2 linked regions of the Callithrix jacchus genome follow. The protein of the gene in region 2 purifies or fractionates together with the protein of the main gene of each other region. This does not show direct contact. Links are inferred from orthologs where the notes say so. Each region holds a gene or a part of one and is shown on either strand. Other genes may lie near its edges.

Region 1 (4,426 bases), on a different chromosome or scaffold from region 2:
TTATTCCAGCAACTTGGGAAGCAGAGACAAGAGAATTGCTTGAACCCGGGAGGCAGAAGTTGCAATGAGCTAAGATCGCACCACTGCACTCCAGCTTGAGTGACTGAGCAAGACTCAGTCTCAAAAAAAAAAAAAAAAAAAAAAAAGAGAGATGCTAGAAGTGGGGAGCTCAGGGAGCCCCCAGGGCTGGCGTCCTTCTGTGGCCTGGTCTGGCTACAGGTCTCACAGGTGCACATTTAGAGAGAGACCCTGTGTTGCACACCTGAGATAGCTAACCTGGGTAGACCAGGTTACACCTGAGAAAAATGAGACTTGGCCAGGCACAGTGGCTCATGCCTGTAATCCCAGCACTTTGGGAGGCTGAGGCTGGGGGATCACCTGAGATCAGGAGTTTGAGACCAGCCTGGTCAACATGGTGAAACCCCGTCTCTACCAACATTACAAAAAAAAAAAAAAAAATTAGCCAGGCGCAGTGGCAGGCACCTGTAATCTGTAATCCCAGCTACCAGGGAGGCTGAGGCAGGAGAATCACTTGAACCTGGGAGGCAGAGGTTGCAGTGAGATGAGATCGTACCACTGCTCTCCAGCCTAGGCAACAGAGCAAGAGTTGGCCTCAAAAAATAAAACATAAAATAAAAGCCTGGGTGTGATGGCTCCCACCTGTAATCCCAGCACTTTAGGAGGCCGAGGCAGGTGGATCACCTGAGGTCAGGAGTTTGAGACTAGCCTGACCAATATGGTGAAACCCTGTCTCTACTAAAAATACAAAAACTAGCCAGGCATGGTGGCAGGCAACTGTAGTCCCAGCTACTCAGGAGGCTGAGACAGGAGAATAGCTTGAACCCAGGAGGTGAAGACTGCAGTGAGCCAAGATTGGGCCACTGCACTCCAGCCTGGGTGACAGTCAGACTCTGTCTCAGAAAAAAACAAAGAAAAATGAGAAAACTCAGAATGCATTATATTCCTCCAATGTGTTCTGGGACAGGACTCGTGGGCGAGATCCAGCCTGAAGCCTCTTTTTTTTTTTTTTTTTTTTTAATTTTTGGTAGAGGTGGGGGTCTCACTATGTTGCCCAGAATGGTCATAAACTCCTGGGCTCAAGCCATCCTCCCGCCTCAGCCTCCCAAAGTGTGGGGATTCCAAGCATGAGGCATCTGGCTGAAAGGCAGCCTGTTTTTGTATAGCCCTCAGGCTAAGAACACTTTCCATTTGTAAATGGTTGTCTCAGTAACTGAACCATTCTGGCCAGCCAAACCCAAAATACTTGTCATCTGGCCCTTTATAGAAAAAGTCTGCCAATCTCAGTTCTGGGATACAAGAAAAACAAAAAGGGAAGCTGGCCGCGGTGACTCATGCCTGTAATTCCAGCACTTTGGGAGGCTGAGGCTGGAGGATCACTTGAGCCCAAGAGTTTGAGACCAGCCTGGTCAACACAGCTGAACCCGTCTCTATAAAAAATAAAAGGAAACCGGCTGTAGCTCACGCCTATAATCCCAGCACTTTGGGAGGCCGAGGTGGGCGGATCACGAGGTCAAGAGATTGAGACCATCCTGGTCAACGAGGTGAAACCCCGTCTCTACTAAAAATACAAAAATTAGCTGGGCATGGTGGTGCGTGCCTGTAATCCCAGCTACTCAGGAGGCTGAGGCAGGAGAATTGCCTGAACCCAGGAGGCGGAGGTTGCAGTGAGCCGAGATCGTGCCATTGCACTCCAGCCTGGGTAACAAGAGCGAAACTCCGTCTCAAAAAAATAAAATAAAATAAATAAAAGGAAACCAAGAAGGAGCTGAGGAGGACTTTTCACTTCACACTGACTTTTCTACTGTCTGAATTGTTACATTTTTAAATTACCATGCTCATTTTTTTGTTGTTGTTTTCTAATCGAAGCATAATGTGGATGACATGTAATTTAAATGTAAAGTTTGATGAATTAAGAGACATGCATTCCGCAGAGCAAGGTGGCTGTGCCTGTAGTCCCATCCGTTTGGGAAGCCGATAGAGGTGTATCACTTGAGCCCAGGAGTTCAAGCCAGCCTGGGCAAGCTGTTGAGATCCCATCTCTACAGAAAATACAAAAAGCCAGGTGCAGGCTTATACTCCCAGCTACTCAGGAGGCTGAGGTGGGAGGATGGCTTGAGCCCAAGGGGCGGAGGTTGCCGAGATCACTCTAGCCCGGGCAACAGAACGATACCCTGTCTCAAAAAAAAAAAAAAAAAAAAAAAAAGTAACGTATGTATTCACCCTTAAATTATGTTTAAAGGTTTGTATTTGTCTGTTAAACCTGGGGACTGAGTATGGGCACCTTTTAAGTTCTCTTTTTCATTCTTCTGTGTTGAGCCCGATAACAAAATTTAACATGCTACCTAAAACATTTGAAAAGTTTAAGAATAAGGATTGCTGGGACACTTTGCAGGCGCGGGGCTGCCTGCAGGGAACCACCGCATCGAACTTCTTGTAAATTACCCCCAGGTTCCAGGTTGCGGCCTTAGCCTTGCCTTGGGGAGTCGCGGCCTCTTTTGGGCCTCAGTTTCCGCATCTGAGAAACCCAAGGGTGGCCGAGGGCCAGGGCGCAGGCTATGCCTCAGTTTAACCTACGGTAAAATGTAAATAATCAAAGGGACCAATCTCCTGGGCTGTTACGAGAAGGAGGCGGAGCTGGGAAAGCGCTCAACAAACTGCAGCAGTTACTGTTATTATTATAGAAGCTATGGGGGATCTCCGGACTCCGCCTCCGGTCACACCGCCGGGGAAACTGCGGCCCGCTTGTGTCCCCGGAACCCCGCCCCTGAGTCCCGAGTGCCCAGACTCTGAGACCCCGACGCAGAGAGATACTGACCTGACAGTCCTCGACGCGGCAAGTTCCGTTTGTAGTCGATGGGCCCATAGCCCCCCGCCGGGGGCATGTCCTGCTTCACCTTCGACGCCGCCATACTCACTGGATCCCGCACTTCCGGCTCCGGGCGGAAGTGACATGTGCCACCGCCATGATGAGTGTGGCGGAATCATTTGAGATCATCTTCCGCAGCGCTGGGAAGCCGCGGGGACTAGTGTAACTACTCGACCGCGCCTGAGAGCTCTGACTGCTGACCCTGGGTCCGAATGCGCAGCTAGGCTGCAGCTGAGGAGTCATTATTCCTTCTTTCCCCCAGACCGGGCGTGTCTCAGTCGCTAGGACCCCCTGGTTCTTGCATTAAAGGCCCTCGCGTTCACTTTGCTTCTGGGGTGTTGTGTAGGCCAGTCAGAAACTCGGAGCTCCCTAGAGCCAGGTGCCCCAGTTAAGGCCCCTTTTCCCGTTTTAGCCCTCGCTAGGGACTCTACCGGAAGCCCAGGGCTCGACGTAGTCACGGGCTGGGTACATGATGTTGGGGAACAGCTGCTGCTCGATTTCGGACTCAACCCAATCCCAGGAGCGGATTCTGCTCCCTGGTGGTGGTGGGTATCCCTCGCTAGTGGCCTCTCATCGGAAACTGACCATTCAGGGTAATTATGAGTCACAAAGCAGGGAGGCTAGGGTGGCCCCAGGGCGGGGTCCCGGACCCCAAGGCGGAGTGACGCCCGAGGCCACTTCACAAGGCAAAAATTGTTACGGGGCAATAAAAGGCGTAACAGCGGCCAAGGAGCGGCAGTGGGCACATGGGGGTGCGGGGATGCAGGTGCCAAGCGCCATGGGTTAGACCCGAGATTGGAGTCCGGCCGCCCCCCAACAGCAGCCGCCTCCTGCTCCGCGTGCGCCCCAGGCGCCACCATGTCGGGTGACAAACTCCTGAGCGAACTCGGTTATAAGCTGGGCCGCACAATTGGAGAGGGCAGCTACTCCAAGGTGAAGGTGGCCACGTCCAAGAAGTACAAGGGTACCGTGGCCATCAAGGTGGTGGACCGGCGGCGGGCGCCCCCGGACTTCGTCAACAAGTTCCTGCCGCGAGAGCTGTCCATCCTGCGGGGCGTGCGGCACCCTCACATCGTGCACGTCTTCGAGTTCATTGAGGTATGCAACGGGAAGCTGTACATTGTGATGGAAGCTGCCGCCACCGACCTACTGCAGGCCGTGCAGCGCAACGGGCACATCCCCGGAGTGCAGGCTCGTGACCTCTTCACGCAGATCGCCGGCGCCGTGCGCTACCTGCACGATCACCACCTGGTGCACCGCGACCTCAAGTGCGAAAACGTGCTGCTGAGCCCGGACGAGCGCCGCGTCAAGCTCACAGACTTCGGCTTTGGCCGCCAAGCTCACGGTTACCCAGACCTGAGCACCACCTACTGCGGCTCCGCCGCCTACGCGTCACCGGAGGTGCTCCTGGGTATCCCCTACGACCCCAAGAAATACGACGTGTGGAGCATGGGCGTCGTGCTCTACGTCATGGTCACCGGGTGCATGCCCTTCGACGACTCGGACATCGCCGGTCTGCCCCGGCGCCAGAAGCGCGGC
Region 2 (3,128 bases):
AAGACGCTCACCTGGGCCCCAGAACAATAGAAGGGGAGGTGGGGGCCTCCCCTGGGACCGGGTCCCGATCCGGATTAGATCCGCAGGGCAGGCTTAGCCCTGTTGGTCCCGCGAAGCCTGGGCCACTGGTGCGGTGACGGTGGTGGGGCGGGCTTCGGAATCCGCCAGGAGGGAAGCGCGCCCGTGGGGCTGGAGAGGAAGTAAACCCAAGCGTCCGCCTCGGGGACACCCCCGCGCTTGGGGCTCTTTGTCCAGTGACGCTGCCAGCGCCCAGAGCACCAGGGGCCGAAGGGGCCCACACAGCAGCGGCGGGACCCCCAGAAACCTATTACGACCGCCCCCCAGGAGACCCACCACCAGGCCCCGACTGTGCCGAGCTCCCTGCTCGCCCAGCCCCGCGAGTAGCGAACGCAACAATGTTCCCCTGGGGCCACGACAGAGCCAGCGTGCCGAGATACCCAATCCCCGCGCGGGCGCCAACGACTCTCGCGCCAGTAGGCCCTTGACTTGGTTCAAGACGGGGGACTGGGGACTCCCAGGACGAGAGCAGAGTGAACGAGGACAAGGTGATGCTCCACGCGTTTCTACTTCAAGTCTGGTCCGGTTCTGCCCGGTCTGGCCCAGCCGAGCAGCAACCCCAACACTACCACAGCTTGCCCTTCCGCTTGCTCTGGCTGCCCGCAGACTTGGAGCTATTTTAAGGCGAAACCACCTGGCCACGCCTCCTGGAGCACCCGATAAGCCAATCCACGCTAGGCCACGCCCCTCTAGCGCGCAACTGAGAGGCCAACGGTCGCGCGGGTGACGGTTAGGGCGGGACTTGCTTCGGTTGTGAGCCGGAGAAACTTGAGCTGGTTGCCCCGCCCACGGTGCCTGAAGCCCCAAAGGCTAGGATTAGGGGCTCGAAGTCTGGCATGGACCGCCTGGCCAGGTGTTCGGTTCACGATTAGGTGGGTGGCTGCCCCGCCTCGGGAGCGCGGCTTAATAGTTGAGAGCCGGGGGTCCAGGCCGCAACTGCGGCCCACGCAACGCCGAGGGCGGCCACACTACCAGGTGTTCCACTCCCCTGGGACTGTGGGCAAGGACCCGGGGCGGGGCGAGGGGCAGGTGATGACATCGGAGCTGCGCCGGAGGCCGGGGGACTTGTCCTCCTCCCAGGACAGATGATATTCGCCGGCTGGGCCGGCCGAGCTGTGCCGTGCACTCCGGGACGCAGGGGGCGCTGCACCCGCGCTGGGTCAGCCTCCGCAGGGCCCCGCCAACCCGGTAACAACCGGCGTCAGTGACGACTTCGCCGCGCGTCGATCAGCCATGGCCACCGCTCTTGCGCTACGCAGCTTGTACCGAGCGAGACCCTCGCTGCGCTGTCTGCCTGTTGAATTTTCCTGGTGAGCTGGACCCCTCACTGTTGACCATCCCACCCCCTAGGGCCGGCGACTGCCACCCCGCACCTTCTGGCTTCTCGGGCGGCCCGTCCCGGCCCTGTGCCCCTGACCCGTTCCCTCCGCAGGGCCCCGCGACGGGGGCATCGGCTCTCGCCAGCAGATGACGAACTGTATCAGCGGACGCACATCTCTTTGCTGCAACGCGAAGGCTTTCAGACCATGTACATCGACAGTTACAACAGCCGCGGCTTCATGATAAACGGAAACCGCGTGCTCGGGCCCTGCGCTCTGCTCCCGCATTCGTTGCTGCAATGGAACGTGAGTCCTGACCCGCTGTGAGGAAACTGAGGTCCAGAGTCACAGGTCCTCAGCCTGCTTGTGTCCCTGTAGACGTGGCTTTCCTCTATCTCCTGTAGTGGATGGAGGTGGGGAGAAGCTGCGTAGATTTGTCGTACTGAATAAATCATCTCCCTGCACAGGTGGGATCCCACCAGGACATCACCGAAGAGAGCTTTTCCCTCTTCTGGATGCTGGAGCCCCGGATAGGTACTGGGGACAGGGGAGGCAGGGCAGAGGTGCTTTGAGCCCTAAAAGGCAACCCCCACTCCAACCTCTCAACAGAATTGTAGACTAGTCTCATCCTCACTTCCCTAGAGATTGTTGTGGTGGGGACTGGAGACCGGACTGAGAGGCTGCAGTCCCGGGTGCTTCGAGCCATGAGGCAGCGGGGCATTGCTGTGGAAGTGCAGGACACGGTGAGTCCTATAACTGGGGCCTGCTGTGGGGAGTACAGGCCTGGCACTAGACAGGCTGATTCTGGCCTTTTCTTTGCAGCCCAATGCCTGTGCCACCTTCAACTTCTTGTGTAATGAAGGCCGAGTAACCGGAGCTGCTCTCATCCCTCCACCAGGAGGGACTTCACTCACATCTTTGGGCCAAGCTACTCAGTGAACCACCAGGAACTGACCTGCTGACTACACTCTGCCAGTTCCCAGTGCTTTCACCCTTATCTCCCCTTTGGCATTTATCTTGCTTACCAACATAATAATTTATACACTTCTCCCATTTTGTATCAGGTGTGTTGCTGGCCAGGTGCTGCTGGCTCACTGAGCTCTTGGAGAAAAATGTGAAGAAACCAAGGGGTCACTTTTTCATCTAGATTACTTAGGATAGTATGTTTACCTGTTCTAGACCTTGCTCACATGCAGATTTCAGAGGACCTCAATGCCTTTTCTCACAAAATCACTGATTTTTTTTTTTCTCTGAGACAGAGTCTCGCTCTGTCACCCAGGCTGGAGTGCAGTGGTATGATCTTGTCCCACTGCAACCTCCACCTCCTAGATTCAAGTGATTGTCCTGCCTCAGCCTCCTGTGTAGCTGGGATTACAGGCCCCCACCACTGCACCTAATTTTTTTTTTTTTTGACATGCTGTGGGGTGATTTCTGCTCACTGCAACCTCTGCCTCCCGCGTTCAGGTGATTCCCCTGCCTCAGCCTCCCAAGTAGCTGGACTAAAGGTGCATGTCACCACGCCCAGCTAATTTTTGTATTATTAGGGATAGGGTTTTAATATGTTGCCACCTGCCTCAGCCTCCCAAAGTGATTACAGGCAAGAGCCACCACACCTGGCCGAGAGCTATTTAGGTTAGGGAATATGTATATGTCTTGACCTGGTCCTATGTGGCCAAGTATGACTTAGTAGGATGCCCGGTGGATGCCAGTCCCAGGGATTGTACTTTGACC

What was found.
Region 1: the proteins of NDUFAF3 (region 2) and NDUFA13 purify together in Homo sapiens (co-immunoprecipitation; 3 studies listed by BioGRID and IntAct, with this or other methods). This does not show direct contact. The link is inferred for Callithrix jacchus from reciprocal best matches to the Homo sapiens genes NDUFAF3 and NDUFA13.

The regions. Positions count from the first base shown.
Region 1 is NC_133523.1:18,190,370-18,194,795, reverse strand, and holds the start of NDUFA13 (NADH dehydrogenase [ubiquinone] 1 alpha subcomplex subunit 13), read right to left. Parts: upstream 2,945-4,426; 5' UTR 2,931-2,944; coding exon 2,837-2,930; intron 1-2,836. Other genes in the region: TSSK6 (testis-specific serine/threonine-protein kinase 6), read left to right, coding at 3,746-4,426. UniProt on the Homo sapiens protein: Accessory subunit of the mitochondrial membrane respiratory chain NADH dehydrogenase (Complex I), that is believed not to be involved in catalysis. Complex I functions in the transfer of electrons from NADH to the respiratory chain.
Region 2 is NC_133516.1:31,650,928-31,654,055, forward strand, and holds NDUFAF3 (NADH dehydrogenase [ubiquinone] 1 alpha subcomplex assembly factor 3), read left to right. Parts: upstream 1-1,287; 5' UTR 1,288-1,311; coding exon 1,312-1,388; intron 1,389-1,510; coding exon 1,511-1,703; intron 1,704-1,864; coding exon 1,865-1,931; intron 1,932-2,039; coding exon 2,040-2,140; intron 2,141-2,219; coding exon 2,220-2,336; 3' UTR 2,337-2,450; downstream 2,451-3,128. UniProt on the Homo sapiens protein: Essential factor for the assembly of mitochondrial NADH:ubiquinone oxidoreductase complex (complex I).